Elephas maximus indicus: one gene and its partner. The protein of the gene in region 2 interacts with the protein of the main gene of each other region in a pairwise test. Links are inferred from orthologs where the notes say so. Each region holds a gene or a part of one and is shown on either strand. Other genes may lie near its edges. The genes, in order: SPA17 and MYL6B.

Region 1 (16,566 bases), on a different chromosome or scaffold from region 2:
AAGGCCTTACTGCCCAAACTGCCGCTTACCAACCTGTATTTATTCTGTAACCTAAAAGTTCATTTCCACCATCACCAAATATGAACGCAAAAAATAAAGGCTTAAATATTTTTCTGTCCATAAAGCCACTCATTGTAAGTTACTTAAAGCATAACATGCTGTGACACGAACACCTCAAGGTGACACCCAGTAAGTCACACCCTTGTATAATCCTAGAGTCCCTGGGTGGTTGCAAACAGTTACCATCCTTGGCTGCTAACAAAAAGGCTGGAAGTTCAAGTCCACACAGAGGCCTGGCAAGCTACTTCTGAGATATCAGCCACTGAAAACCCTACGGAGCACAGTTCTATTCTAACCCATGGTGTTGCCATGAGTCGGCACTGATTCGACAGCAAATGGTTTGGTTTTGGTTTGGTTGTATAATCCCCTCCCCTTGAGTGTAGGCAGAACCTGTAACTTGTGTCTAACCAACAGAAAATGGCGAAGGGGATGGGATGTCACTCTTATGATTAGGTTATGTTACATGGTAAAGGTAAAGTAATTCTGCAGATGTGATTAAAGTCCCTAATCACTGACTTTGAGTTATTCAAAAGGGACACTACCCTGGGTGGGCCTGACCTACTAAGGTGAAGCCCTTAAAAGAGGGCCTAAAGGTCAGAGACGTAAAGCAGCCAAGACACTACCATGAATTCTACAGCCACAGGAAACACATTCTGCCAGCAATCTGAGGGAGCTTGGAAGCAGGCCCTTCCATAGTCGAGCCTCCAGGTGAGCACACAGCCTGCCCAACACCTTGATTCCAACCCTGTGATACCCTGAGCAGAGAGCCCACCTAAACCTTCACCAGACTTCAGACCTAGAGAACTGTGAGATAGTAAATGGGTGTTGTTTTAAGCCACTAAGTTTGTGGTAATTTGTTACACAGCATAGAAAACTAATATACATGCCATCACTCTAATAAGGGGGGTAGAAGGACTCTTAGGCTTTTTATATTTTTCTAAATTGGAGAAATTTTATCTACTTACATCAAGCATAACGACAAACATAGACAGACATACCTTATATTATTACCTACAGGCACATACTGCCACATATATTACCTATCCTATTCTCCCAACTTTATCCCTTATGTCTGAGAGGGCCATCATGCATCACTTAGCAACACAGTTTGAACAGAACCCATACCTGCCCATATTCCCATTCATTCCTGGGCTTTTAACTTTTCCATGTCTCAAATGTCAGTCTGCTGGGCAAAAGTCTCTATAAGTCCCCCTTTGTTCTGGGCACCTAGGGGATTATAGGCAATAAATTAAATATTAACAGAGGGAGAAAGGGTGGCAAATTGAGGTAGTCTGGCCGAAAATCCCAGAGTCCTCATCAAAATCCAAAGGAAAAATCAACCCTTCAGCATCCCCTGTAGTGTCTCCTTTGAGAGGCATTCTTTTCTACCCTGTGAAATTCCCTACATGTCTACATCCTTTATTCCAAATAATCCGTCATCCATTTTGTTTCACAGGTGGGATAGGTGGGACAGAGCAAGACACTCACTGAAGCAGGTTTGTAGAATGTCTTTCTTCTCTACCACGCCAACATGGAAAGCCTGACACACAGAACTACCCCGCCAACCCCTTTTCCTGTGAAATTACCATCAACTGTCCACGAATCACCTAATTCCCTCAAGCTACTACTGGTTACTTCAAATCACCCATGACTTTGCAATGAAGCAATCAGGGTATTACTTGAACCTGAACTGGTAAATGTGCAAGGACTGGCATTATCTGTGTCCTTTGTATTTCCCAGGGTTTCTAGCTCTGTGATTTTATACATTAGAAGCCTTCAATAAATGTTTATAGGCTTGAACTCAAAATCAGTGAGCAGAGTCACAATCACTGTAAAGGAAAAGGGAGGCTCATCCCTTAATTATTACCTTTTATTTCTGCTCGTCACCACTTACCCTCCTGCCCCATCTCTGCCCACCCCGAACGGTAGCCCTGGAACAGCCATAGGAGTGAGGTAGAGCGGAGGGGAGAGGAAGACTAAAAACAATGCAAACGAACATTTTTTTTAATTAAATGTTATATAAATTTATGTATTTTCCATATCATCCTCTACAGTAATTTGTAGTTTCTGCCTCCTAGATACTTATTGAAGCCCTGGTGACACAGTGGTTAAGAGCTCAGCTGCTAACCAAGAGCTTGGCAGTTCAAATCCACCAGGCGCTCCTTGGAAACCCTATGAGGCAGTTCTACTCTATCCTATAGGGTCACTATGAGTCGGAATTGACTCGATGGCAATGGGTTTGGGTTTTTTGTTTTGTTTTGGTTTGGGTTGGATATCAGTACTGTGTACCAACTGAACTAACTAGGCAATCCTTGTTTTCAGAGGCCAGCAAAATTTCCACAAGATTCCCCATCACATATGTATAGTCAAGTCATTGCTCAAACCTTGAATTCCAACACTAACTCTACCACCTCCCAGAGTAGCCTCCTCACCTGTCTCACCCTCACCTCAGGATGCTGCAGCTATGTAGATGCATCTGGTCTCCACCTGACCCAGCCCCAGCATGCTTTCCTGCACCAGTAACATCTAGCTTTGCCTCCTCCATACACTAACTCAAACGTCTTTGTCTCCCCTAGACAGAGATCCTTCTGTAGAACCTCCCTGCTCATCAAGGCTGCTCATTCTTTCTTGAACATCCTCACAGCCACCATCTTGGGTCAAGTCCTCGTAACCTGTACCTTGATAGCTTAACAGCCTGCCAATCAGTCTGTCCACTTCTAGATTTACCAGTCTCCAATCCAGAGTTCTGCTACCAGAGCGATCTTTTTAAATACAAATCTGATTGTGCTATTTTACTGCTTTGCTGCTTAAAATCCATCAATCCAGAACAAAGGATACACTCCTTAGCAAGGACAAACAAGTCTCCCTACCTTTCCAACATCATCTGTCATCCACCACCAGTCGCACAGCCCTGTGTTCCAACAAACCAACCTGTTTGCCATTTCTCCAATGACCCATGCTTGCTCATGCCTCCCTATCTTTGCCCAGTCTATTCTCTCTATCTGCTTCCCCCACTCATCTTTTAAGATAAGCCTTAGATTAAGTTAATTATCCCCACTAAGTGCTCCCAGAGCACCCTGTACTTCTCCATAGCGGCACCTATCATTTTGCTTATTGTTGCTTATTATTTTTCTATGTCCTCCCCTAACACATGAGCTTCACTGGGGAGAAATTATATCTTCTTTGTTCATCATTGTATTGCCTGTACCTAGCATAGTACATGGCATAGTAAACACTCAATATAATATTTGAGTGACTGATTAAACAGTAATAACAGCAGCCAATATTTATTCCATACTTATCATGTGCCAGGCACTGTTATGAGTACTTTACATATGTTAATTCATTTAATCCTCACAATAATTCTATTATCATTACTTCCACTTTACAAACAAACCATGGCACAGAGAGATTAAATAACATCTTCAAGGTTACATGGCCACTGAGTGACAGAGTCAGGACCTCAATCCAATGAACTCCATAGCCTAGGTTCAACCACTTCTACATATTGCCTCTTATTTATAAATGATTCCACTCAAATGTTACCGTCTGTGAAAACCTTTCATGACCACCCAATCCGAGTTAGATGTTTTCTTCGGTATCCCATGACAACCTATACACACTTTCATCATAGCTTTTATCACACTGCACTATATGTCATAAACCAAAACAAAAAATAAAAAAACAAACCCGTTGCCACAGAGTCCATTACGACTCATAGCAACCCTAGAGAATAGAGTACAACTGCCCCACAGAGTTTCCAAGGAGCAACCGGTGGATTCTAAATGCCGACCTTTTGGTTAGCAGCCAAGCTCTTTTACCATTGCACCACCAATGTCCACCTACTACCACTATTCCATGAGCTGCGTGAGGACAGGGACTCTGACTTAGTCTTATTTTTCTGTTTCAGTGCCTAACCAGTTGCCATCAAGTCAATTCCAACTCACGGCGCCCTTATGTGTATCAAAGTAGAACTGTCCAGGTTTTCAAAGGCTGAAGCAGTAGATCACCAGGCCTTTCTTCTGAGGCACCCCCAGGTGGATTCAGGCCTTCAACCTTTCAGTTAACAGTGAGGGTATTAACCTGTTTGCACCATCCAGAGACTCCACCCTCAGTGCCTATCACATGGTAAACACTCAAAGCATAAGCATTCATTTTTCTGATGATCCAGTAGGTGGCAGACAAAGACAATAGCTAAACAGGGGCCAGGCTGCCTTACCTTTCACACTGGTCACTTTCTTCATGATAGTCTCGTGGACTTGGCACACAGTCACTGACACTGTGGCTCCGGGTATGCCATAGCCCCAGATCACTGCCCCAGAAGGCTCCTTCTGCAGTACCATGTAATTATCGATGTATGAAGCAAAGCGAAAATCAACACCTAAAAAATGTAGCAAACACTTAGAAGGGCGTCATCAGGAAATTCATCACCAACTGATTTGGGTGAAACTGCAATGAGCAGAGAGTCTTTATACAAGAGAATCTGGATATACTCAGTCCTTTTAATCATCTAAAACTAGATCTTATTCCTCCTAATTAGGGAAGCAACATAACAAGAACAGGTTCCAACAATATGCATCATGGTACAAGATGACCAATAATGAAAACTCAAAGAATGTAGGGTAACCCATGCACCACAAACCCCCTTCCCTTCAGAGCTCTTGATCTTCCTTTCCTCTCAGGCTTGGCCCTAAATACTTGGCTCTCTCCCCCCAAATCACTAAAATGCTCCTTTTACGCATGCCACAGATGGTGTTTATAAGAAAAATAAAGCACTTCCTTCCCTGACTTTCCATTCCCACTCCCACTCCCACTCCTAATGGCTGGGGCTAAAGAAGCATGCCTCTCTCCAATACAACCTCTGATCTTTCTTTTCCCACTTTTTATCTCCCCCTCTCCAACCTACCAGTGTTAATTTCCCTCATATAATTCCCCTTGTTCTGGTTTTTTGACAATCCAGTGTACTGCACTAAAAATTGTAAATAAGCACTTACAAATGTGACAAGTATGCTTCCCTCTAAGGTAAATTCTGATGAACCAAGACACAAAAATAAGGTCAGAAAGAGATAAGTCAAAAAAACCCAACCAAAGATTGTTCGTCCCAACTTTGCCCGTTTTACAAGCAAAATTATACAAAAAGAGCAAGAGGAAGCACTGTGGGTTCTATTCTAGAGATTCACTAGCAAGACTGCATAAAAATTCGCTTTAATAAGACCGTTCCTATTTTTAACATCTAGCCTATACTGAATTATTTTATTATTAACAAGCACTGATCCAAATTATCTCAGTGAGTTCCTCATCAAAATTTAATAAGGAAAAAAATAAAGTTCCTTCTATTACATCCCCGTATATCTGAACAAAAGAAGACAAAATCCTTAGTAGAAAATAATTAACAAAATGAATATTTTTTAAATGAGTTTTAAATAAAAATAACAGACAGGAAAGAGCATATTAACAAGGTTGACATTTTCCTCCCTGAAAGCTACAAATGATGACGGCCCCGTAGGCTATACTTAACAAGGCAGACAGCTAATGAAGTCTCCTACACATACTCAGTCAGTGGCCTATTTATCCTGCTCTTTGAATATCAGCCCAGTCCCTAAAAATCTTCAGCTCTCTCTTATGAACTAGTTCCATAATGAAACCTACATGACAATCAAAGATCACCCAGAAGACCTACGGGGCTAGAGATGCACAGCTACCACGAGCAAATCTCTCCAAGAAGAGACTACAACACACAGGATTGCATAAGCGCGTTGGCAGCGTGCTGGGGGAAACAGAGAGGCACATGTGTGGGAGGGCCTCGTCTTGGGTAGGTGCTATGGAACAAAAAACGAAAGCCAAAGGCATAAGGGCTAAGTAGGGTGAGAGTGGTGGAAAGGAGTGAGGAAAACTGGCTAGCAGTTGTATGAGCCTAGAGTCCACGCAAAGGAAGGGCTCTAGCCGTGTGCAGCCAGCGGTCCACAGTCTGGGGGAAACGCCTCTCCAAGTCACTGTTACAGCCAACAGACACATCCTGAACCTCTTTATGCATTCCTCCATTCTAGCATAAAGGATATTAGAGATGCCACAGATCTTTCACCCTCTAGGGTATAATCTTCATTACCTACTGATCAAGAGACTGAAACCCAAGAACCTTAAGCATTTTTTTTAAAAATAGCTATCATATCTTAAGAGGTCGGCTGCTAACCAAAAAAGTCGGCAGTTCGAATCTACCAGCCACTCCTTGGAAACCCTGTGGGGCAGTTCTGCTTTGTCCTATGGGGTCTCTACGAGTCGGAATCCACTTGACGGCAACAAGTTTGGTTTTGGTTTTATCACATTCGTTAATTAATTCAACAAATATTTACTGATGCGGACTTTATGCCACACATGATTTTAAGCACTGGAGATTTAACAATGAGAAAGGATGGGGGAATGAAAAAAAAAAGACAAAAATCCTTGCCGGCAGGAATCTTACATTCTACTGAGAAGCTCACAAGTAGCAGATACAGTGCTAGACACATTATTGTTGTTGTGATCCATAGGCTTTTCATTCACTGACTTTCAGGAGTAGATTGTCAGGCCTTTCTTCCTAGTCCATCTTCATCTGGAAGCTCTACTGAAACCGATTCAGCATCAGAGCAACACGTAAGCCTCCAGCCGGTAGCTGCACAGGAGGTGCATTGACCAGGCATTGAACCCAGGTCTCCTGCATGGAAGGTGAGAATTCTACCACTGAACCAGTTTTACAGACATTAAACTTATTCGACTGGTCTAAAATCACATAGGCAGTTAGTGATAGAGCTAGAAACCAAGCCACCTGATTCCCACTCTGCCAGCTATTGATGGTAAATCAAACAAAAGTCATACTCCCTGTCCTTGTAAAGCTCAAATTCCAAGCTAGCAACTGTATACAGTGGAACATTACCAAGGAATTGAGCAATGAACAGAAACAGAAGACTGGAAAGTGGGGGCAGACCTAGTAATTGCTTTTGTCAAACACAAGACACGTTTAACATTTGAATTTTTTTTTTAGGTCTCGGATTTTTTCATTTGGGGATTGGAGAAGAAAAACAGGATTAGTGTTGTGGCGAAAGAGATCATCATTAAAAGTGGGCTTACGCAATTAGGACAGTGCTTACCTCTGGTGAGGAGCTGGTGGGTAGGCTTGCAGGGGAACATACAGGGAGCCTCAATAATGCTGGCAATGTCCTAGTGCCTAAGTTGGGTGGTATGTTCATTTTGTTGTTTTATTGTCACACATACTTTTGTATGTATCAAATATTATGTGATAAAAATGGGAGCAGGGAAAACAACTGAAGGAAAGATGTCAGTAGATGCAACCAAATAAGGCATTAATGAATGAGAAATACAGCCAACGTTAATGAAGATGATGTAACAATATGACCCAAAAGAGATTAAACACTGATGTTAACAACCTTTAACAGAAAAACTAATAAAATATGTCCCTACTCTTTTCATCTTCTCCCTACCTCATATAATGGACCCCAAAGGTCACGGCACAGGGAGATAAGCATCAGGGAACGAACACTGCAGTGTTGCTAGTCTGCACTCCCTGAAAAAAACACATACTGAGCTTCAGTCTGTCTGAATTGGGGTATTTCTGGGGGTTTCTAGGTAGAGCAGCAGTCATTTTTCTGCAATCCATTCTCCCAGCTCAACTTTCATTTCTTTGGGATCCACTCTTGCGGTGGTTTTGAAAAAAAAAAAAATAGGTCCATCATTATTACTGTACGCTAGCAGACAGATTCCCTCTTCTGGTTTCTCCATGCATGTAACCCACTTGCCCAGCCTGCCTATTGTGAGGACAGGGGTATGTATTCAAATGACAGGATCTGACCTAAACAATAGCCCAACGCCAGTCACCCTCCTCTCCAAAGTCACGCATATTATTCCACCACCGATATCTGTAACTGCACCAGAAATCACAGCAGAGCCTTAAATATTCTGAGCCAGTGAGAGGGTTGTTTCTTAGCCCTAATCACTACTTAAACTAGTAAAATTTAATTCCCCCAAGGAACCCAGCCTTAAGCAAACCTCCCCAAGGCACAACTGTGCGGGCAGCACTGAAATGTCTGGATAACTCAGTCACCTGTTTCCCAATAATATCTAACTAGCTTCTAACTAGCTAACTAGCTGCACCCCCTCCCCACCCAGCTCCCCTGCAGCTGCTCAAAGACCCTGAGGGCCTCAGTCTGGGTATATTTGAGCTTCCGCACTCAGACAAACCCAATTCTCCCTCTGCCCTCGACACACTCTGTCAGAAAGAAGGCATCCCACAATGGTGCAGGAAGCGTTAGGGCCGAAGCACCGACCCTAAGTCTGGGTCTGAGATCCCAGCTCCTGGCCCGGGTTCCTTTCCCGATCCCGAGAAGGGGGGCACCGGTAGGGGTCCTGCAGAGGACGCTGGATCTCGGGGCCGGCGCAGGCTGAGGGGCAGGGGTTCGGCCGGGAAGCCTCACCTGCACTTCTGCTGACCCACAAGATTAAAGGCATCATTAGCCCAAACACCAATCCTGGTGCGACCATGATGTATCACCAGCGCGCGGGACTCCGGAAGTGGGGGCTAGCTAGGGGCGCGGCCCGTGGGGGCGGGGCCGGAGCGGAGCAGGGTGGAGGAGGTGACTCCACCCCTCGCGTGCCCTTGAATCCGCGAAGCTGCCCGCGGCCTCAGGGCGAGGCGGTGCCTCTCACCCTCTCGGCCGCCGTAGTTGAAAAAGAAAAAAACGGTTACCCAGCAACGAGAAAAAACAACCGGAACCATCGGCACCAGCTCAGAGAGAAAGAAGAGGTGAGGCGGCTTCCCCACTTCCTCTCCAAAACCAGGACCTCGCCTTTTCCTTTCGTGTCTCGTGTTCTCTCAGGATCCCCGACATACGCCAGGAATACTGGTGCAGATTAGCCAAGGCAGCCTATTCTGCCCAAGTCCGCAATCCCAGGTCGTCCACATCCAGCCCCCGGCAAGACCAGGTCTTCCCTTCCGTCCGCCCTACACTCCCCAGGTCTGACCAGCCCTTCTTTTCACAGTCCTAGACTGATTCAATGCCTCATCTCCTGCCCCTCAAAAAAAAAGAAAGAAAAAACACTCCATGGATCCGGCCTCCGCTTTCATTCCGCATTGACAATCTCATGAACAGACCAGATCCCTACATGTTCTTTTCATAGTAGCCTAACCGGCTGCTTGGCAATTACCCTTAATCTAGCCCGTATATTCCAAGACAGGGAGAGAAGGCCTGGTCAAGACAAACCCAAAAAATAAAAGGCCCTGAAAACTTTGGAGACCAAAAAAAAAGCCCAGTGCCCTTGAGTCGATTAGGACTCATAGCAACCCTAGAGGACAGAGTAGAACTGCCCCAGGGTTTTTTGGAAACTAGGCTTTCAAAATCATGACCTTGCCTACTGCTCCACTTTGGAGTAAACAGCTGTTTAGAAGTCAGGCTTCATGAATGGAAGCTAAAGAAAAGATTAAGTGTGAAACGTCTTCATTCAACAAATTGGGGGAATTTCTAGAACCAGGACTAGTTCCAACTTTTTAAAAATGTTTTTTGTTTCGTTTGTTTGTTGTAGATATAACCACCTGCCTAATTTCCTAAACAGGGTCTTCTCAGCAACTTATAATGAATTCAGCAAAGCTAGGTTTTTAATCATGATTCTCTCTAAATTCCTGTAAGATAGCAAAAATTACCATCTCCTCCTAAGAACCAAAAGACAAAGGGATGGAGAGAAAAAATATTTACCGTTATAGTGAAAAAATTTGTGATTGTCCTAATTTTCTAAAGAAGTATTCAGCCTAATAAATGGGCCTGTATTTGTAATGTTCTAATTAATAATGGAAACCCCGGTGGTGTACTGGTTAAGAGGATGGCTGCTAACCAAAAGGTTGGCAGTTCAAATCCATCAGGTGCTCCTTGAAAACCCTATGAGGCAGTTCTACTCTATCCTATGGGGTCACCATGAGTTGGATTTTGGAAACCCTGGTGGCCTAGTGGTTAAGAGCTACAGCTGCTAACCAAAAGGTCGGCAGTTTGAATCCACCAGGCGCTCCTTGGAAACTCTATGGGGGCAGTTCTACTCTGTCCTATAGGGTCACTATGAGTTGGAATCGACTCAATGGCAATAGATTTTTAGGTTTTTAATTAATAATGGAGAAGTCAAAACTTTTTAAAATACATGTATGAACTCGTGTTGGAAAAAAAGAATTGAAGTCTACAAAATTTGGGTCTCAGAAATAATTGTTGTCATAGTTGTGATTACATAAATAAAATCATACATATTTAAAGACAGTGCTCTTTAATGAATCTCTAGGTACGATAGGCAGTTCCTTCCAAGGAGATGTCGATTCCATTCTCCAACACCCACTACCGAATTCCACAAGGATTTGGGAATCTTCTTGAAGGGCTGACACGCGAGATTCTGAGGGAGCAACCGGACAATATACCAGCTTTTGCAGCAGCATATTTTGAGAACCTTCTAGAGAAAAGAGAGAGTAAGCTTTTTAAAAATAGGCATCTTTTTTTCCAATAAGAGACTAAGCATTTGGTTATGGTGTAATTAAGACCATCCCCATTCCACAGAAAATCTTTTTGAGGCAGTTGACTTCAAATAACAGAATTTGAAACAGCATGTGCCTTTTTGACAAGTTGTCTTAAATAGGTTTCACATTATGGAAGGTTACTAGTTTATTACCCAGACCTTTTTCACTATATTTCTCGTGGACATACTGGGTGGAAGGGGACCGCAAAAGATCGTAGTCATCCATTTTTTAGCAGACTGGTGGCGTAGTGGTTAAGTGCTACAGCTGCTAACCAAAGGGTCAGCAGTTCGAATCCACCAGGCGCTCCTTGGAAACTCTATGGGGCAGTTCTACTCTGGCCTATAGGGTCGCTATGAGTCAGAATCGACTCAACGGCACCGGGTTTGGTTTTTTTTTTGTTTGTTTGTTTGTTCCCTACATCACCCAGACAGTTGGCTGTCTATCTTTCCTAGGAGGAGAGTTTGCAGTTTTCTTTAAAGGTTGATTTGCAAAAAATAATTCTACACTCTTTAGATTAAGATACATTGGTATTCATTGGGGGTGTATGAAACTGTTCTACAGTAAAGGTGCACAGACAAACTGCTTTCAAGGCAAGCTGCTTTGAGTGAACTTCATAGTATCGGAAGGTAATTTACACTCTTCCTTTATACTCTCAAGGTCCCATCCTGCCCAGAGTCTAAGATACATGCTAAAGTGACTCTTTGGTTGAAAGAGAAAAAACAAAGTTCCTTCACGTTCATAAATAAAATTTCTAAATCACCTGCCTTGAAGGTTCATGGTTATCAGGACCTGACCCAGTGTCGGGATGGGAATTATTATGGCCATAAGTTTATACAAAAAAACCTATTCTTGATTAGAACAATCTTTATGTTATCATCTCTTCTAGTCAAGAAAAACCTGTCATCATCATTACTTTTCACGATAGTGTTCCAACAGAGTGGTAAAGGTGACTAGACATATCCACGAGCAAATAAACATTCCATTTAAAATCATTATACAGAGGGAGGAAACTTAGCTTGAGGCTTGAATTCAAACAACTCCCATACACACTGCACAGCTCTAACCTCTAGCCTTTGCATTCTGCTAGCAGGGCTCAGAATCACTGCCAGTTTCCTGAACGTTGCTGGTCTTTTCCATATTCAGTCAGTGTGGATATTTATTGCACAGTTTGAAGCTTAAATGCCTGCCACTGCAAACACTTTGATAAATTATCTTTTTTCTGATCGGGGGAAGTCATTAGGAGAAATTTTTAGGGGTAAGAGGTAAATCGTAATGAGCATTAATTTAATTTTGTTATTATAACATTAATTTTATAATTAATGCAATAAAAAGTTATTAGTCATGTATTTAATTTTAGAACTCAGAAACATCCCATTACAAAAACATTCGAGTCATTATTACCGGATCACGGTGATTAAAGCAATTGGTGATTCAGATTAACGGCCCAGGATACTAGCTAATAAACAATGGGTAAAACTATTTGAAAAAAATTTAAGTACCACACCCATTTCCACCATGTCAACCAGACAGGAATTATCCAACTAATACAAAGCGTCAGAATTTAATCTCTACAAAAAGGGAACAAAAATCATTAAGGTCCTGTAACCCAATCTCCCACACAATACAAGAATTCTCATGCCAGCATTCCTCATAAGTGATGACCAGGCTTAACTCTGATTTGGGGGGCAGGAAACGTGTTGGTATACAGTATAAGTAGTAGGTCAAATCAGTAGGGAATAATGGACTTTTTAACAAATGATGTTGGGATAAAAATAGAAAAAGATAAATTGGATCAAGTCCTTAAACCATGTTGTTGCCATGAAGTCAATTCCAACTCACAGAAACCCCATGTGTGCAGAGTAGAACTGCACACCATGGGGTTTTCAAGGCTGTGACCCTGAAAGGAAGCATATCACCAGGCCTTACTTCTCAGGCATCTAAGGGTGGGTTTGAATAGCTAACCTTTCAGTTAGTAGACCAGCGCTTAACCATTTGCTTAACCTTCCACCCAATGGGTAACCATTTGCACTACCCAGGAACTCCTTACACCATGTATTACGGATTGAATTGTGCCCTGCAAAAATGTGTCACTTGGCTAGGCCATGATTCCCAGTATAGTGTGGTTGTCCTCCATTATGTGATCTGATGTCATTTCCTTATGTGTTGTAAATCCTAACCTCTATGATGTTAATGAGACAGGATTAGGAGCAGTTATGTTAATGAGGCAGGATTCAATCCACAGAATTAGGCTATATCCTGAATCAACCTTTTTTTTTAAGATATAAGAGAACTGAGAAGAGAGGAGGGGGACCTCCTACCACTAAGAAAGAAGAGTCAGAAGTGAGCACATCCTTTGGACCCAGAGTCCATGTGCTGAGAAGTTTCTAGACCAGAGGAAGATTGATGACAAGGATCTTCCCCCAGAACTGACAGAGAAAGCATTTTCTGGGAGCTGGCACCCTGAATTTGGACTTCTAGCCTCTTAGATTATGGGAGAATAAATCTGTTTGTTAAAGCCATCCATTTGTGGTATTTCTAGTATAGCAGCACTAGATAACTAAGACATAATTTGGTACCAAGAGTGGGGTGCTGCTCTAACAGATACCTACACTGTGGAAGCAGTTTTGAAACTGTGAATGGTTAGAGGCTTGAAGAGTTTTAAAGTGACTAATAGTAAAAGCCTGGTTTGCTTTGAAGAGACTGTTGGTGGAATTATGGTCATCAAAGACAACTCTGGTGAGGAGTCTGAAGAAGTGAGGAGAGCTGTAACACTGAAGATGGTGAAGACAGTGAGAAGCAGCAGCAGAGAAATAGCAGCAGCAGAACCAGAAGACCAGCACAAGACATCACGGGAGCCTACCCAGAGAGCAAGAGAGCTGAGTGTCTTTGTGCAGGAGGCTCCGTGCCACAGTGGGGTGTCTTCAGGCACTTAACAGTGGAAGTAAACTTGTCAAACCACAGAGCAAGAATGCTGAGTGCCTTCTGGCCGAAGTGTACTAGCAGAGTGGGGTTCCTCCAGGCGTTTTTCAGTGGAGCTACAGAGCTTTGGAACATTTGTCCCAGTAGGACAGACACGAGTGGTGAGGCCTGAAGGGACAAGAGGCCAAGGAACCATGAAGCAGATGCTGAAGAGACAAGGAACACAGGAAGCAGAGCTGCCTCAGTCTCAAACGGTAGGGCCACAACCTCTTGGGTTTCCAAGGGTAGAGCCATGGCCTTTGGGGTTTCAAAGGGTGGGCCCACAGCCTGCTAGCTTTCAAAGAGTAAGATCTTCACCAACTTGATTCCAGAGTGTGGGGCTACTTTCATGAGTGCCACAGGCATGGGCCAGGTCTGCTGCCCAAAGCCAAGAAGGCAGAGCTGCCATGCCCAAGGGGCAGAAGAATGGGGTCTGCAGGACAAGGGGGTGGAGTCACCACTCAGATGGACTAGAAGAATGGGGCTGCCCAAACGTGAGGGAGCAGAGTTGCCACCCCAGTGGGCCTGGAAGGCAGAGCTGAAGCCCAAGGCTAAAGGGCTTCCACCCAGAATCTGGAGAGTGTGACCAACACACAGAGTCTGGAGGGCAGGACCATTGCCTAAAAGGTCTGTGCCTGTTCCACCATTTTTACTTTGCAAGCAGATAACTTGTATTCTAAATATCACAGATGAACAGGAATTTTGCCCCAGGATGGAATTTGCACTTGGAGTTGACATAAGACTTCTAGGATAATATGATGGAGTGAATTTGTTTTACATGTGACAAGGACATGAATTTTAGGAGGCCAAAGGGTAGAAAATTGTGGATTGAATTGTGTCCCCAAAAAATGTGTGTCAACTTGGCTATGCCATGATTCCCAGTATTGTGTGGTTGTCTTCCATTATGTGATCTGACATAATTTTCCTACGTGTTGTAAACCCTAACCTCTATGATGTTAATGAGGCAGAATTCAGTCTACAGAATTAGTTGTATCTTGAGTCTATTTCTGTTGAGATATACAAGAGAGAATTGAGCAGAGAGGAGAGGTACCTCCTATCACCAAAAAAGAAGAGCCAGGAATGAGCATATCCTTTGGACCCAGGGTCCCTGAGATGAGAAGCTTCTAGACCAGGGGAAGATTGAAGACAAGGACCTTCCCCCAGAGCTGCCAGAGAGAAAGCATTCTCTGGGAGTTGGTGCCCTGAATTCAGACTTCTAGCCTTCAAGACTGTGAGAAAGAGCCCTGGTGGCACAATGATTAAGAGCTCAGCTGCTAACCAAAAAGCTGGCAGTTCAAATCCACCAGCTACTCTTTGGAAACCCTACTCTATCTAGTTCTATTCTGTCCTATAGGGTTGCTATGAGTCAGAACTGACTTGACGGCACATAACAACAACAGACTGAGAGAATAAATCTCTCTTTGTTAAAGCCATCCACTTGTGGCATTTTGTTATAGCAGCACTAGATAACAAAGAAACCATATAACGAAACAAAAAACCAAACCCATTGCCACGGAGTCAATTCCGACTCATAGCTACCCTATACAACAGGATAAATTCCAAGTTGATCTCAGATTTAAATATTAAAAAATGAAACCATGCAAATACTAGGAGAAAATGTAGGTAAATTTCTCTATAACTTAAGAAGAATCTTTGCTAGCTAAGATTCAAAGTTCCAGAAGCAATTAGGAAAAAGATTGATAAAACTGATAACATAAAAGTAAACTTTTACATGACAAAAATCACCATAAGGAAAATAAAATGACAAAGTGAGAAAAAAAAATATTGGCAGTTTATATCACAATAGGTTAATGTGATGGTTAATTTGCTTAGCAATCAGTCCAATGTCTGCCAAACCACTAAGAATCATAGCCTAGCCAAGTTGACACAGGAGGAGATATGCTACACTCCAAAAGAATTTCCTGAGTTCTCTAATATGTACAAACAGAAACCTGGGGAATATGTGTAAGAATGGCTATTAGGGTATGGGATAATGGTGCAAGAAACATAAAGTTGGATCAATCTGAGTTTATTGATATGCGCCCACTAAGCACAGATTCTTCATTCAGAGGTTCAGAAAGGATCTAATTGTTTATTTGGTTGGTTCAGTGAAGCATGGATAACAGGTGGCCTGCATTAAATCAAGTTGAAGTACAAGACCTGCCTTGGTATACTGCAGAAGAAGGAAATAGATTGAATATCTACTAAATATTTACTTCATCTGTATAAGCGGAAAAATTCTAGGTCAAGTGAACAGCGGTCTAACTTGAATTGTCATAATAGTCACCACCCCTCAATCAATTCCCAGACTTGAGCCAGTTTACAGACCCACAACCCCCTGAATGAAGGGGAGGCTGAGTCCCCTTGAGGAAGGACCCTACTACACTGCCAAAAATTTATACTGTTAATCTTTCTCCAAACTGCCCCATAGGGTTTCCAAGGAGCAGCCAGTGGATTCGAACTGCCAACCTTTTGGTTAACAGCCTGAGCTCTTAATCACTGTGCCACCAGCAGTGACTGTTAATTGGGGAAAGGAAATAATCAGACTTTTTGGGGATCACTGGATAATCTGAACTGACGCTAATTCCAGGAGACCCAAAACTTCACTGTGGTTCACCAGTCAGAGTTGGGGGCATATGGAGGTCAGGTTATTAATGGAGTCTTAGCTCAGGTTCGGCTCACGGTGGGTCTGGTGGGTCCCCGTTATGGATTGAATTGTGTCTCCCAAAAATGTGTGTCTACTTGGCTAAGCCATGATTACCAATATTGTGTGCTCGTCCACCATTTTCTGATCTGGTGTAATTTTCCTATGTGCTATAAATCCTAATCTCTGTCTATGGTTAATGAGTCAAGATTAGGTTATGTTAAAGAGGCTTAGGGTGGAAAGTAAAACCCTTTACTCAGGTCACAACCCTGATCCAGTGTGAGGGCAATTTCCCTGGGGTGTAGGCTGTATCACCTTATATCTTACAAGAGGTAAAAGGAGAGAGAACCGAGCGGAGACGGACTTC
Region 2 (15,546 bases):
CTGAGGTGACAGGCAGGCTCAGGCACTGCTAATAGGCCTGGCTTTAGCTCCAATAAACCCTTCCCAGAGTTCCCCACAAAAGGCCATCAGTGCTTGGGAGGGCAGAGACTAGGTTTAAGGAGATGGAATGCTAGGAGAAGACACGACTTGATGGAACAAGGATGGTTAGCTTTGGTCCTACAGGGATTTACGGCTTTCCTTAGCCCCCAAGGGGTAGCCTTTGTAGCATAGATGAATGGGGTCAGCATTTCTTAAGTGAGGCCAAGACGTTTCCTACAAGCCCTTCCCCAGCATTCTCCATCCCCAGGTCCATGACCCTATACTCTGCCTCAGGGCAGAAATCATCACCATCTCACATTTTCCCCCTCACCCTGCTCAGGAAGGAAAGCAGGACCAAATCTGGGTATGAAGAGCAAGTTTATTTGGTGAATGCTGCTGGCAAATTATCCAAGAGAGACAAGATGGGAAAGGTGCTGTGACAGCCCAAGGAGGCCTTTAGGGCTAGATACAGTCTCAGAGGGAAAGGCACGGGGCTCTGGGGACACGGGAAGGGCTGCCCTCAGCCATTCAGCACCATACGGACGAGCTCTGTGGAAAGGAGAGGTGGGGTGAGCCAGGAGGCAGGGCTGAAGGGAGGGGCACACCAGGAGCCAGGAGACTACAAGACCACAAAGGTAGCTTAAGAGGCAAGGTGCCTGCAGCAACCAACCTTGAGTCTGACCAGTTCTCTCTGCCCCTAGCTCCCCTCCCACCAGCTGTTAGTCCCCTACCCGCTCTGAGCAGCAAGAACACAGCAGAGGCAGAAAAGTTCTCAACTACACTTATAGCTACTGTCAGCCACTGGCACAAGAGAGGACAGAGTTTTGGGTTAGGGTACCTCCAAGCTGCCCAGCAGAGGAAAGGGGAAAGGACTATTCAGCTCTAGCAGCAGAATGGGCAGGCGACCCACCCCCCCTATGCCAACCACCCTAAAGCAAGACTGGTATAGGCTGGTGAGAATTCCCAGACACCAGCACCCAGGGTCCTAAAAGCAAAATCTCAGAGCCCAGAGTACATGACCCCCATTCTAGGAGAGGAGGTACCATACCCCCAGGCTGTCTTCCTCTTTGAGGAGCCCCTCCCTTCCCCAGTCAGCTCCATGCAGAAGCATGCCAGGAGAAGGTCAGATGGTAGTATAGGGTAAGGGCAGGGGCTAGAGAGCAAAGGTTGGGAAGAAAAACACTGGGAAGGTCAACTAGAGAAGGAGAGGCTGGGAGGAGCCGTACCCGCCCCACGGGCCCGTCACCCCGACAGGATATGCCTCACAAACGCTGCAGGAAGGAAGAGACATTAATGGTGAAGACAAGACACAGACATAGGGTGAAGGGGTCAGGTGGTGGGGGATTAGACATTCCATTTACTTTACTTCCCATTCCTTCCCCACCGTTCATACCACATCACCCCTTTCCTGTCATATTCTGACCTCCCACTCCTGGGCTGGGCTGGGCCCTGCCCCTTGCCTCCTGGCTCCTTTTGGAGCCCAAGTCCAGAGACAGGGAAAGCCCCACATGCTTGTCCTTGACCTGTCCCACATAGCTGCTTCCTCCACAAGAGCCCCAATTGGCCCCTTACCTTCATAGTTGATACAACCATTGCTGTCCTCATGCCCTGCCACCAGCATCTCTACTTCTTCTTCTGTCATCTTCTCACCTGCAGAGGGAAAGCAAGCAGTTTTGGAACTGGGTGACAGGTGTATCAGGATGGCACCTCAGCTCAAGTAGCAAGGGCACAGAGCCTTACCCAGTGTGACAAGGACATGCCGGATTTCAGCACCCATAACAGTGCCATTCCCTTCCTTGTCAAACACCCGAAGGCCTTCGACATAGTCTTCATATGTGCCCTGGTCCTTGTTCTTGGCCACAGTCTGCAGCATGGGCAGGAAGTGCTCAAAATCCAGCACCTTCACATTCATCTCTGCCGTAAAGTGGGTAGAAGGGGTGCAGTGTCAGGCCCGAGAAGTCACGTGAGTTCTCAGAACTGAGACTACAGGTGAACCAACAGCTCCCCCTCAAAGCAAGGGAGACCCATGAGATCTGCTAGTTGAGACAAGACTTGCTTCAGTTTGGGGGCCTATGATGATAAAGGGAAGCACTTAGCTGAAGAACGGTGAGTCCACCACCACACTGAGTTCTAAAGGGCTCTCACCATCACTTTTGGGGTTCCCCAGGACCTTGAGCACCTCGGCGTTGGTGGGGTTCTGGCCCAGGGCCCTCATCACGTCCCCACACTGGCTGTACAGGATCTTGCCATCACCCGTTCGGTCAAACAGCTGGAAGGCCTCCTTAAACTCTGAGGATTCAGATGAATATCAGCACTGGGGATGAAGGGGTTAACCCAAACCCTACCTCCAAGTTACACTGTACACATTCAACTTACATCTTTGTGATGAAACCAGATATCTGTACCACTGTACACCCTGCTAAGAGGGATCCAGTTTCCCTCTCCCCCAACTAAGGTGTCCCACATAGATACAGCCTTCCTCCCGGTTGGCAGTGGTAGTAGCATCCATTTACACATCCCTCTGCCAGTGGCGCCCAGCCCAACCTCCTCACCACTACGCTGTTCAGGGCAGGAATGTGCCACCGCCCCATCTGGGTCCTGTCCTTATAAGGAAGTGGAAGCAGCAGCCTGGGACTGGGGTCATCCCAGCCTGCCACTTCCCACCCTTCCTGTACAGAAATGGTAGACAAAGTTGGATCCTTAGCAAACTCCCCCTCATCTCCACGAAGTAGCAGGTCACTGCTCTTTACCACCATCACAATTCCCAGCTGGGGCAGAGGGGGAGTTACCACAGGAAGAGAGAAGAGGCAGAAGTAGCCGATTAAAGGAGCGCAGGCAGCTCAATACACCCCAAACCCCACACACAGCAGGCAAGCGTTTCACATACCCACACCACCTAAAACTCACCCAGTGCTTGGGGCTCAGATCTAGAGTGGAAGGGGAAGGAGGAAGAAAGAGTGAGAAAAGAAAATGGAGGATCGAGAAGGGGAGCCAGGAATACTGTCCTGGGGGGTGCTGAAGAGATGACATGTCGGGGGTTAGAAGGCAGGTGTTGGAGGGGTGTCCCTCTCCTTAAAGGTGACCTCAATAAGGGCCAGAGATTGCTTACCTGCGGTCTGGTCCTCAGTGAAGTCACACTGCTCAGAGAAGGGGGGGAGCGGTCAGCATCTGAACTCCAATCCCCCAGCTTCTATCCCACAAACCAGCACAAACTCCTGTTCCTCGCTGAGGACGCGCTTCCTAGCAGGATCCCACTCTCCGACCCCCCTCCTACCGTCCAGGCCCTCTGGTTCCCTTTGCCCCCTACTTCCTGCCCTCCCTCCCTCGCCCTCTACCCGGGCTTCCCGCCTTTCGCCCCAAATCCCGCTCATTCTCCCAGGCCCTGTGTCCCACCATCTTGGCCGCTCAGGTTTCGGGACCTTTTCCTGCAGTAATGGCTCCGACTCCAGGCCCAACCCTAGTCTTAGTACGTCCCCTGACGTCATCCTCAGAGCCCCCAGCCAATAGGAACCCGGCCTGGGTTTACGCAAGGACATTGCTACATTAGCAATAAGGTGGGCGGGACCCGCGGCTGAACCTTCCCCCAGAGTCGACCCACCTGGGACTCAGGAACCGCAGGAGTTGGGTGGGTCACAACGGATCTGCTCTTCCGAGCAGCGAAAAAGCAGAGGGAATCAGATTTGGAGAGAAGAGAGAGAGCCCTCATTTCCTTCCCGCCCCTACCTCTGAAGAAAACAACAGTCAGGCCGAGGGAGGAACCGTTTCTTTATTTTAAAACAATAGGTGGCCTCCTAGTGGCCGGAACGTGCTTCCGCCTGCGGAGGCGGGGCGGGGGGCAGTGTCCGGCCCCACGGGATCTGTGGAAAAAGATGAAAGTTGCCAGGCCCTGGCACTCGTGCAGAAACAGGACAGGAAAATGCAGTCCCCTGCTGTTGGGCTGTGGCTGAGGAAAGGGAAGTAGACTCGCCTCTCAAGGATGGAGGGTGCCCCCTACCTGTAGCGCTCAGACGCTTAGGATGTGCTTCAGGAAGGCTGCAGAGAGGGAGCAAGAGGGGCTTCAGAAACAGGCCCTTAGATACTCCAACTGACCTTAGATAATCCAGGTCCCAGCGTACCCCACCCACCCACATACATGGCAAGAGGCCCGCTCCCTTCCCCCTTGTCCCTTCTGGGACTCTGACCCCTCACCCTCATAGTTGATGCAGCCATTGATGTCCTCGTGTCCTGCCAGAATAGCCTCCACCTCCTCTTCAGTCAGCTTCTCTCCTGAACCCCAGACATAGCGTTTTAGCCCCGCCCTCACCAACCAGGCCTTACTCTTCTAGGTGGTACCGCCTCTTCTTCAACCTGGGAGACTTAGTCAACGCAACTGATCCCCCAAGGGAATCCTCTCCGTGTAATGGTTATGCCTTGCCTGTGTTACTGCATCTTGCTTTCCATTTCACCTCATTAACGAAGCCTCTTGGTATTGGTGAAAGCTTTGACATATGGGGAAACTGAATTGCAGCGGGCTAAGAGACTTGTACAGATCATAGAGCACAAGCATCTCTACCAAAATGGAAACTCATGTTTACCCTCTCGTCCCCTTTCCTCTGCCCTTTGTGTCCCCTCTCACTTGAGCCTCTGCAGGAGGAAGTCCTTCAGATTTCTGCTCTGCTCTACCTTCTAGTCTCCAGCAGGTGACCTGAAGGACAGTAACCCCCTCCCTGGCTCTGCCAACCTGGCCAAACTTCTTCCTCTCTACCCCACAGGAATTCTGGCCCCTGCCTTACCCAGGGTGGTGAGGACCTGTCTGAGCTCTGCTCCCATGACTTTGCCATTCCCCTCCTTGTCCAACACCCGAAGCCCCTCCAAATAGTCCTGGTAAGAAGAGCCTTGGTCCCGTTTCTTGGCCGCTGTCTGGAGCATGGGCAGGAAAGTCTCAAAGTCTACACGCCGGGACTTCAGCTCTGGAGGTTAGAAAGAGGTGAGGGAGAGGTCACTGTGGTGTCATCCAGGACCCAGCTCCCATCCCTACCACAAAGGTTTCCATTCTGTTCAACATCCCAGGATGTTTTTCTGCCCCTGTGTTTGATGGTTTTTGTAGCCTTGAGACGCATCTGAGCATCCTTTGTGTCCTACCAACATTCCTGGGTCCCACCACCAAACTGAAAGCCCACATTGTTCCAAGGGTCCCCTCACCATCACTTTTGGGGTTTCCCAGGATCCTGAGCACCTCGGCGTTGGTGGGGTTGTGGCCCAGGGCCCTTATCACGTCCCCACACTGGCTGTACAGGATCTTACCATCACCAACTCGGTCAAACAGCTCGAAGGCCTCCTTGAACTCTGAGGTTATAGGGAAGAGTTAATGTCGACCAGGGGTTCCCACCATTCCCAGGCAGAAGGGAGGATCAGAAACTATGGGTTAGCACTGGGCAGAAAAAAGGGACACAAAGAGAACTAGTGTGAGGGGCTTCAAGGTCAGGACTGGAGTTGGGGAAAGAGAAAGAGGATCCAAATAGGGGCTTGGGACTGGGTAGTGGGCTTAGGGGACCAGCTTCTCCTCACCCTCCAGCTGGTCCTTGTTAAACTCGATCTGTGGAAGAAAAGAGCAGGTGAGGAGGAATGACAGAGGTTACTAAATCCCTCTCCAGCACTCCTCCCAACCAACTGGCAGCCACTTCTAAGGAGGGGCCCAAAGGGACCAGTCCGGGAGCCCAGCCACCTCAGTCCCATTCCCAGCTCTGGGCCTTGGGAGAATCCCAAGAGGAGGAATTATAGGGGGGAGGGTTTCCTGGGAACAGGGTTAATCCCATGCCACCTGTTCCCCTCCCTCCACTGCCCTGAGCCCTGCATCCTTCACATAACTGGGGGCTGAACAAAGGCTAAATTTACCCCTGGCCCCCAGCTGTGATTGTCTAACAAGCCTGTCCTCTTCAGCCTCCCCTCCTGGGGTTGAGCTTTGGCTTTTGGGTTGAACAGCCAGCCAGGGGCAGGCAGCATCTCCTTCCCTTCACCTTGAAAAAACCATCCTCAGACCCAGATGTTCCCCATCTCACAGTTCCTGACTCCAGCAGGAGAGTCAGCAGGTGTGTGTATGTGCGCACAGGTGTGTGTGTTTGTACACACACATGTTATATGTTAGAGGGAAAAACAGCACAGACAACAGCAGAGTCCTACGCCTGGATGCTTCCAAACAGGGAACTAAGGGGAACTGCCAAACTCATCCCAGTGCTCATCAATTCTCTACCTTCTAGACACCTTCTAAGCCCCTAGGCTGTATCCCACCCTTGTGCCACCCTCTTCAAATTCTACCCTCACTTTCTGGGTACTCACCACCACTTTGGAGAGATCGATGGGGGGCTCCTGGGGTTTTTCAGGGGCCGGGGAGGCAGCTGGCTCAGCCTTGGCCTTGGCTGGAGGGGCCTCTGATGCTGGCTTGGCAGCAGGCTTTGGGGGAGAAGGCCCTGCTGGTTTCTTCACGGGAACATCCTTCTTGGGAGGCATGATGTCCGGTAGCCAAAGGACAGTATGCCGATGGGGGCACCCATCTCTGTTTAAATAGCCAGGGAGGCTAGGATGTCAAGGGGCGGGGGCAGGGGCAGGGAGCCAGTTGGCAGTGTGGAGGGTGAGGTAGAGGAGAAACGCCTGTCTGCCCTTGCTCCCCTGGCTTCCTGTGGTTCAGGACTCCTCCTGCCCCAAGGTCTTCCCCCTCTGCCCACCCCTTCCCAAATGCTGGCTGGAATAATGTCCCCATTGGGGGCAGGCTGAGGAAGCCAGAGACTGCTCATGATGGGGGAGTTAACGTCCGGGGTGAGGATAGGATGCTTGCCAGTGCCATTGAGATAGAGGTGAGGCAAAGAAGGAGATCCACGCGTTCCAGCCCCCTGACTCAGGGTAGCCCTTTTTTCTAGCAGCTTTAGACTCTTGAAGGCTGAAGCAGGGAGGGGGCCTTATTAAAGTTGGGTCTGGGGGCAGCGAAAGGTGAAAAACAGGCAACACTTCCACCTCCTCTGACCATGGGTGAGGAGCAAGGGTAGTTGACCCCACAACCTAATCCTCAGCAACTGTAGTTCCTGGCCACCTGCCCAGCCCAGAACTGGACTGTGCACAATATAGAAAAAGAATAGCAACGGAAGGGGAGAGTGGCACCCCTCCCCCACTGTCTCCTGTGCGGTGTAGTTCCAGGGGTCGGGAAATAGGTCAGGTTTAACACCCACCACCCATTCTCAAGCCCATGGTCATTCACATCAGACAAAGGATGGGGTGCTTACCAAACCTGCAGGGACCGTGGGTGGCATCTGAAGGGGAGGCAAAGAGCCTAAATTCTCTAATCAGAAATCCTATGGGCTCCATGAGTACTCACCCCCAAAGAAGGGGGTAATAAAAACCCTGACTCGAGCGCCAGGTCTCAAGTCTTGCTGGGGGCGCTAGGAAAGGCCATTAGGGGAGAGGTGCAGACTTTTTTTGTTCTGGGGGGTAAAGAAGGGGAGGATTTAGGTAGCATTCTGGGAAAGATAGCAGTGATTCCACTTAGAGCCTAGGGTTCAGAGTGTTGATACTGGGGGTCAGTCTCCTACTCGCAAAAATGCGTCTGAATCTCACAACTGCGTCTGAATCTCATAACCGCAGATTGTCCCATAAGAAAATCAGGAATCATTCTCCTCAGGGAGTACACCCGAAACAGATATACATACACACATACACACATATGCACCATGCACAGAGAGATCGCGCCTTAAGTTAAGAATCCCGAACCAGCCCCCGAAAACTCACCCTGCGGGATCTCTGTAAGGGGAGGGGGCGGGGCGCTATGCAGCTTCGGCCCCTGAAGGGTTAATTCCGGCGGCCTCGGAGCACGCCGGGAGCTGTAGTCCCCGAGCGGACGCGGGCTCTCGGGAAATGCTCTCCGACTCCAGGAGGAAGCTAAAGCGGTGGCTTCCGGCTGTGGCGGTGGTTCGTAAGTCGGGTTTGTTGAGCGCGCTTTTTGTCCCGGAACTGAAAGGCAAGGAGCAATTTAAAACCCCCACCCCGACCCTAAAACCCTGTGGGGCCCCTTAGGATATCCCCCTTACTTAGCCCTGGTGAGTTTCCATTTAATGTGGGCCGAGATCTTTTCTGAGTCTATTATTGTTAGGTGCAGTGCAGTCGGTTCAGACTTAAAGCGACGCAGCGTACTACAGAATGAAACACTGCCCGGTCTTGCACCACCTTTAAAATCATAACTACGTTTAAACCCATGGTTGAAGCCACTGTGTCAGTCCATCTTGTTGAGGGTCTTCCTCTTTTTCGATGACTTTATCAAGCGTGATGTCTTTTCCAGGGATTGCTCCTTCCTGACAGCATGTCCAAAGTAAGTGAGACAAGTCTTGCCATCCTGGCTTCTAAGAAATGCGGAAATTATCAGACAGTGTCAATATTACACACAGGTAAAATTTTGCTGAAAATTCAAAAACAGTTGCAGCAGTACATTGACAGGGAACTTCAAGCCAGTTCAGAAGAGGACATGGAAGGAAGGATAGCATTGCTGATGTCAGATGGATCTTGGCTGAAAGCAGAGAATACCAGAAAGATGTTTACCTGTGTTTTATTGACTACGCAAACGCATCTGACTGTGTGGATCATAACAAATTATGGATAACATTGCATGGGAATTCCAGAACACTTAATTGTGCTCATGCGGAACCTGTACTACGTAGACCAAGAGGCAGTAAAAGTAACATAGTAAGGGGGAGCTTCATGGTGTAAAATCAGGAAAGGTGTGCATCAGGGTTGTATCCTTTTACCATGTTTATTCAATCTGTATGCTGAGCAAATAATCTGAGAAACCAGATGATACTAGGATTGGAGGAAGACTGATTAACAACCTGTGATATGGAGATGACACGACCTTGCTTTGCTAAAGGTGAAGAAGTCTTGAAGCACTTTCTGGGTCCATTGGTGACAAAATCCAGAAGGGTGGGGTGGGGTGGGGGGCGGTGCTGAAGCTGCAGCAGGCAGGATGGAGGTCAAATATCAGGAAGCACTGCGGCAGGGAGAGTGGCTGTGATCTCTTCAGCTTCCTCTCTGGTTTGGTGGAAAGAAAACAGGCCATTGAGTTGCTGGGTGACTTGAAGCAGTTACTCACAAAATTCTATGATTTCTCTTTTTTAAATGAGCTGGCTGCTGAAGTAGATGTTCAGATTTGGAATAAAGCCCAGCCAGCTGCCCCAGAGGTTGTCCAGTCTCTATACGTGGAGACTTCTCCACCCTGTGGCTGCCTACGCTACCTGCCTGGTCTCTAGAGGCCTCCATGGAACAGAGGGCAGGAACCTCCAGCCCCTCACTTTTAGACACCTCTGCCCAGCATTGGAGTTTATTTCCTCAGACATTCATCATGGGTCTCCTCTGTGCTGGGTGAGGGAGAGAACCAGCCTGGCCAGGGCCCACCTTTACTTGCTGGGTCAATAAATGCCCTGAAGGCACTCCTTTATTAACGTCCATTAGTTTTGCCCAACATAGGAGGTAAGTAGTATTTTCCTCACTTTACATCCACGAAGGATCAGTAGGTGTGTAGAAATGGAGAGGAGAACATTTCACTTAAGTGTTTGGTTACAAGACTCTTGGGGGAAGGGCCATACCACAGATGCCTTTTTGTATCTGTCATCCCTTCCAGAAAAGTTCATTTCTAAGATGTGGTTTATCTGGAGGCCTGGGCTACATAAGAGTGCACGGAGAATCAGGGTAAAAAGCCCACGCAAAGTTGGGGTGGCAAGGCACAAATGAACGTTATGGGCAGTGAAGTTCACTGGTTGGAGAAAGCTTCCTGGAAGAGTAGAAATGGATTATATAGGAGAAATGAAAAATAATAACGGTGATGAGGATAATGATGATAATAGCTGTCATTCCTCAATGCCTCCACCTATGAGGTACTGCATGAAGAGGCTAAATTATCTCAGAGAGACAGCATAAGGGGTGCTAAAGTGTATGGGCTCAGACCACCTTGCTCACATTTGAATCCTGGTTCTGCCACATGCTTGCTGATAACCTCTGGCAAGTTTGTTATCACTCTGTGCCTCAGTTTCCCCATATGTAAAATAATAATCATTATCTACCTCATAGGGCTGTTGGGAGGATTAGATGTATTAATATTTGTAAAATAGAATGGGCCTGGCACAGAGTAAGTGCTATATAAGTGTTCGTTAAGTAAAATTAATGTCATTTCATTTTTCCCAATATAGGAGGTAGGTAGTATTTTCCTTATTTTACATTGACAAAGGATCAGTAGGTGTGAAAGATGGAGAAGAGTACATTTCTCTGACGGGTTTGGTTACAAGATTCTTGGGGGAAGGGCCATACTACAGATGCCTTTTTGTACCTGTCATCCCTTCCAGAAAATTTGTTTCTAAGATGTGGTTTATCTGATTTATTTTTCTCCTTCTCTTCTCCCCTAGCTAGAGTCCACTTTTGACAGTTTGCTAAGTATGAGCGATTTTGACATCAGCTGACTTTTTAGCATTTCTTTTTTGTCTGCTTTATAGAGAAGTAATGTGAGAAGAAAAGAGAAAATGCTTGGCAAAAACAGTTTGAAGGACTATTCTTCATTTTCTGTGCCATCCCTGTCTTTCAATCATAAACAAGAACTGGACTGAACACAGTCTTAACTGGGGATAGGTGATTTATACATCTTGTATGTGGATTCTCCATGACAAATACCAGTTCTTTCTCCCCACCTAGCATGACTTGTGGCTTTTCAGGGATTGCATATTTATTCTAATATTAATCTACAACATAAAATAAATTAGAAGGGGCACATCTCTAAAGGAAAAAGAAAAATGAAACATTAAAAACCTAGTAGAACAACTTTTGGAATTAAATGCAGCAACTTTTTTTTTTTTTAACCCTTCAATAACTTGAATAATTGTGGGTTCACCCTAGACAGCTTAATTGGCTCTTTAAACACTAGCTAATGTGTTAATACGGATAATAGTTTAGGTAGAGAGGATACTGTTTCCGAAATAAATAGGAAAGAATTTGTTGGGAAAAGTGTCTTCAGTCCACTTTGGCATTTTGAACAAAAAGTAGCCCAATCGATAAAGAACAATGATGAATCCATGAAACATTACACGACATGGAGAAGTCTGGAAGACATGCTGAGTGAAATTAGCCAATTGCAAAAGGACAAATATTGTATAAAACCACTATTATACGAGCTGAAGAAATAGTTTAAACAGAAGAATATATTCTTTGATGGTTGGGTGGGGGAGGGAGGGAGGAAGGGAGAGGGGTTATCACTAATTAGACAGTAGATAAGTTTTATTTTAGGTGAAGGGAAAGACAACACAATACAGGAGAGGCCAATACAACTAGACTAAACCAAAAGCAAAGCAGTTTCCTGAATAAACTGAATCCTTCCAAGTCCAGCGAAGCAGGGGCGGGGGTTTGGGGACCATGGTTTCAGAGAACATCTAAGTCAATTGGCATAATAAAATCTATTAAGAAAACATTCTGCATCCCACTTTGGAGAGTGGTGTCTGGGGTCTTAAACACTAGAAAGCATTCATCTAAGATGCATCAATTGGTCTTAACCCACCTGGAGCAAGAAAGAATAAAGAACACCAAAAACACAAAGTAACTATGAGCCTAAGAGAAAGAAAGGACCACATAAACCAGAGACTATATCAGCCTGAGACCAGAAGAACTAGATGGTGCCCAGCCACAACCGATGACCGCCCTGACAGGCAACATAACGGAGAACCCCTGAGGGAGCAGGAGAGCAGTGGGATGCAGACCTCAAATTCTCCTAAAAAGACCAGGCTTAATGGTCAGACCGGGACTAGAAGGATCACTTAGGTCATGGTCCCCAGACCTTTTGTTAGCCCAAGACAGGAACCATTCCTGGGGCCAGCTCTTCAGACAGGGATTAGACTGGAATATGGGATGGAAAACATTACTGGTGAAGAACGGGCTTCTTGGATCAAGTAGATACATGAGATTGTGTTGGCATCTCCTGTCTGGAGGGGAGATGAGAGGGCAGAGGGGGCCAAAAGCTGCCCGAATGGACACGAGGAGAGAGAGTGGAGGGAGGGAGTGTGCTGCTGTCTCATTAGGGGAGAGCAATTAGGGGTGTTTAGCAAGGTGTACATAAATTTTTGTATGAGAGACTAACTTGATTTGTAAACTTTCACTTAAAAAAAGCACAATAAAAATTAATTAAAAAAAAAAAGTAGCCCATAAAACAAAACCCATTGCCATCAAGTTGATTCAGACTCATAGCAAGTCTATAGGACAGAGAAAAATGCCCCATAGGGTTTCCAAGGAGCAGCTGGTGGATTTGAACTGCTGACCTTTTGGTTAGCAGCCAAGCTTTTAACCACTGTGCTATCAGGGCTCCATGGTAACCCATAGTGGAGAGAAAGAGGAAGATAATGAGGATGTTTTATGATACATGGGTAGCTTATAAAGTCCAAGCCCCATTTTTATAGATTCATACTACGTGCAAGATATAAACAGAATAATAAATGTTGTGGTAAGTAGTGTAGTTTCATTTTGGTAATGTTCTGAAACAGTGGTTCTCAGACTTAAGTGTTCTCCACAGTCTCCTGGGAGCTTTGTAAGCAGATAGACTTCCAGATACTTCCCCCACAGATCTGACTCCAGGTCTTTGTTAGGGCCTGGGAATCTGTTTGAAGTATTTTTTGTCCACTACAAAACAAGAGAATAATGTACCAAACAGGTAACCACCAGCTTTAATAAATGAAATGATCTTTTCAAAATATGCATCTGGTCATGTCATTCCCTACTTAAAATCCTTCCGTGCCTTTTGATAAGGATTAAATCTTTACAGTGGTCAAAAAAATGACCACAATTTCAAACACTGCTTGCTTTGCTTCCTTTATAGCAGCCACACCTACCAGCTTTCAGATCCTCAGCGGTGTCCTGTGTCCTCTCTGCTCAGGCTGTTGCTGTCTTTTATACCCTCCCTACCCCCACTGTATTCTCAGGGCCAAGCAGAGCACAGTGCCTGGCATTTAGGAGACACTTAAATATTTGTAGAATGAATGGATATCTGGGCGAAAGGGAAGAGTCAAGGGTGAGCACTGATACTAGGAAGTTGACAGGGAAATATGTTGGGGATTCAAGGGATTGAGAGAGTCCCCATGTATTGATTGGACTCTTATTTGCACCCTGAAGTAGAAGGTGAGGTGATCTGATTTGCTAAGAGAGGAAGTAAGAGGAGATAGCTGGAGAAAGCAGTGAAGATTTGAAATAGGTGCTGTGAAAAGATAGGAGACAACTGACAAGTACTCATTTCACAAATGTTTTCTGAGTGCCTGCTCTGAGCTCAGCACATGAACTTGGTGAGCAGCACAGAAGGTGGTCATGAATTTGTAACAGCACAATCTATAAGGCATTGATTTCTTTCTCCTTTTAGCATTTCTCAGCTGCTTGGATGGTGGAGCCAGAGGAAAGAGACAGCTAGAATGATGCTGGGTTGGAGTTTTGTGCAATAGGGATGATGGATGAACACCAGAGTGTTTAGGGTAAAATCACCATGAAGTTATAGTAAAGCAAGAAGGAAAATTTTATTTGGCATATACTCCAAGAGGCAAAAGTGAATAAGGGACAAGCATGCTGCCAGAGCCATGTCTGTCAGAGTCCTAGGAATGTTACAAGATTGTCAGTATATATTGGCATTACAAATGAGTAAAATCATTAAAAGCTTTACCTTTTTACTGACTGGCTAAAAACTGGTAAATGACCATGATTCTACATTTTGAATTGTCTTTCTTAATAATCATTGTTACAAATATCAGTAAGGACAGTCAGGAGGGTCTTCATTGGTCCAACAAATCTTGCTATTTACTAAATGCTGGTAGAAAAAGAGTGGAAAGTATGCTGATCTTTTGTTTATGTGAAAGTTTCCCTAAAAGGTGTTTTCCAAGATTGTCCAAGCTATTGTCTTTATACTTCAGGGCCCAGATGATGTGTCCTTGCGAGTCCAGCTCCAGCTCCAGCTGAGTCATATTCTTTATACTCAAGGACAAGGAATAGTGGCTCCAATTTTAATGCCTAAGTCAAGAGTGAGGTAACTGAGAGCCTGGGTAAAAGGGGGGCTGTGGTCCAGGCCAAAAAGAGGAGTGAATATAGAGGAGGGGCTATTGGATTGAGAGAATATGGGAAGTCATTAAGGGGCTGAATTCTTACTGAGGTTGAAAAAGTGATACAGTTGGAAATCTCAGAGTTGTAGTGGGAAAAAATAGTGCATTTGAGATTTTAAAATTTCAAAGAATACAGAGGAAGACAGCATCTAGGATGAGTGGCCATGGGAGTGGATAGTTTAAAGGGTAGTGGAGGTGGAGATGGAGATCTTTGGATTTGTGGGGAAAGTCCTTAAGTATTCTTTCAACTGCAGATATCAAAAATCTGATTAAAACTGGCTAAACAATAAAATTTGATAAAGGGGATTTATGGGCTTATGTAGTTAAAGACAAGAGGTAGAGTGGGCTTTAAGTTCAGTTTGATCCAGAGGTTCATGATATAACAAAGGGACCCTTTCTCTGTAATTCTCTTGCTATTGCCCTCCTTCATGTGTTATCTTCTTCCTTGGCACCCTTCCTGTAGCCAGACATGGCTTGGCGGCTACAGTTCCAGGTATCATATCCTCACACCACAAGAGGAAGAGAGGGAGCTTTCCTTGACCATTGGAATCAATTCCTGGACTTCACTCTGACTGGATCAACTTAGGTGATATGGTTATCCACACTTGAACAAATCATTCTGTCCAGGGAAAATTTTACTTGGATCCACAATCAACACCCATGGAAGCAGCAGTCAAGGAATCAGAAGACGTATTGCATTGGGCAAATCAGCTGCAAGAGATCTCTTTAAGGTATTAAAAAGTAAGGATGTCACCTTAAGGACTAAGGTGCGCCTGACCCAAGCTGTGGTGTTTTCAATTGCCTCATATGCATGCGAACGCTGGGCAATAAATAAGGAAGACCAAAAGAAGAATTAATATCTTTGAATTGTGGTGTTGGCAAAGAATATTGAATATACAATGGACTGCCAAAAGAACAAACAAATCTGTCTTGGAAAAAGTGCAACCAGAATGCTTCTTAGAAGCAAGAATGGTGAGACTATGTCTCACATACTTTGGAGATGTTATCAGAAGGGACCAGTCCCTAGATAAGGACATCATTCTTGGTAAAGTAGAGGGTCAGCAAAAAAGAGCAAGACCCTCAACGAGATGGATTGACACAGTGGCTGTACCAGTGGGCTCAAGCACAGCAATGATTTTGAGGATGGTGGGGGACCGGGCAGTGTTTCATTCTGTTGTATACAGGGTCGCTTTAAGTCAAAACCAACTTGATGGCACCTAACAACAACAATTGGCTTAGGCATAAGTTATTATGCAAGGAGGATGTTGTTACTCCGATTCACTCAGGCCAGTCGGGGCCCATTCCTGTCACTGAGGGTGGGATGGTTCAGTCCAGTTGGGGAGAGGTAGAAAGAATGCTAGGAAAGAAACCAGCAATGTCCACTACA

Evidence for each region.
Region 1: the proteins of MYL6B (region 2) and SPA17 interact in binary tests that used the Homo sapiens proteins (3 or more experiments, as listed by UniProt). The two-hybrid records come from large-scale screens. The link is inferred for Elephas maximus indicus from reciprocal best matches to the Homo sapiens genes MYL6B and SPA17.

Annotation. Positions count from the first base shown.
Region 1 is NC_064835.1:26,904,024-26,920,589, forward strand, and holds the start of SPA17 (sperm surface protein Sp17), read left to right. Parts: upstream 1-8,807; 5' UTR 8,808-8,854; intron 8,855-10,368; 5' UTR 10,369-10,395; coding exon 10,396-10,549; intron 10,550-16,566. Other genes in the region: SIAE (sialate O-acetylesterase), read right to left, coding at 4,280-4,441, 8,526-8,592. UniProt on the Homo sapiens protein: Sperm surface zona pellucida binding protein. Helps to bind spermatozoa to the zona pellucida with high affinity. Might function in binding zona pellucida and carbohydrates.
Region 2 is NC_064822.1:116,126,729-116,142,274, reverse strand, and holds MYL6B (myosin light chain 6B), read right to left. Parts: upstream 7,865-15,546; 5' UTR 7,795-7,864; intron 6,592-7,794; exon of another isoform or gene 6,572-6,591; 5' UTR 6,526-6,571; coding exon 6,355-6,525; intron 5,615-6,354; coding exon 5,587-5,614; intron 5,365-5,586; coding exon 5,221-5,364; intron 4,989-5,220; coding exon 4,812-4,988; intron 4,306-4,811; coding exon 4,228-4,305; intron 4,072-4,227; coding exon 4,043-4,071; 3' UTR 4,034-4,042; intron 3,897-4,033; 3' UTR 3,792-3,896; downstream 1-3,791. Other genes in the region: MYL6 (myosin light polypeptide 6), read right to left, coding at 1,282-1,310, 1,612-1,689, 1,780-1,953, 2,185-2,328, 3,149-3,176, 3,433-3,435. UniProt on the Homo sapiens protein: Regulatory light chain of myosin. Does not bind calcium.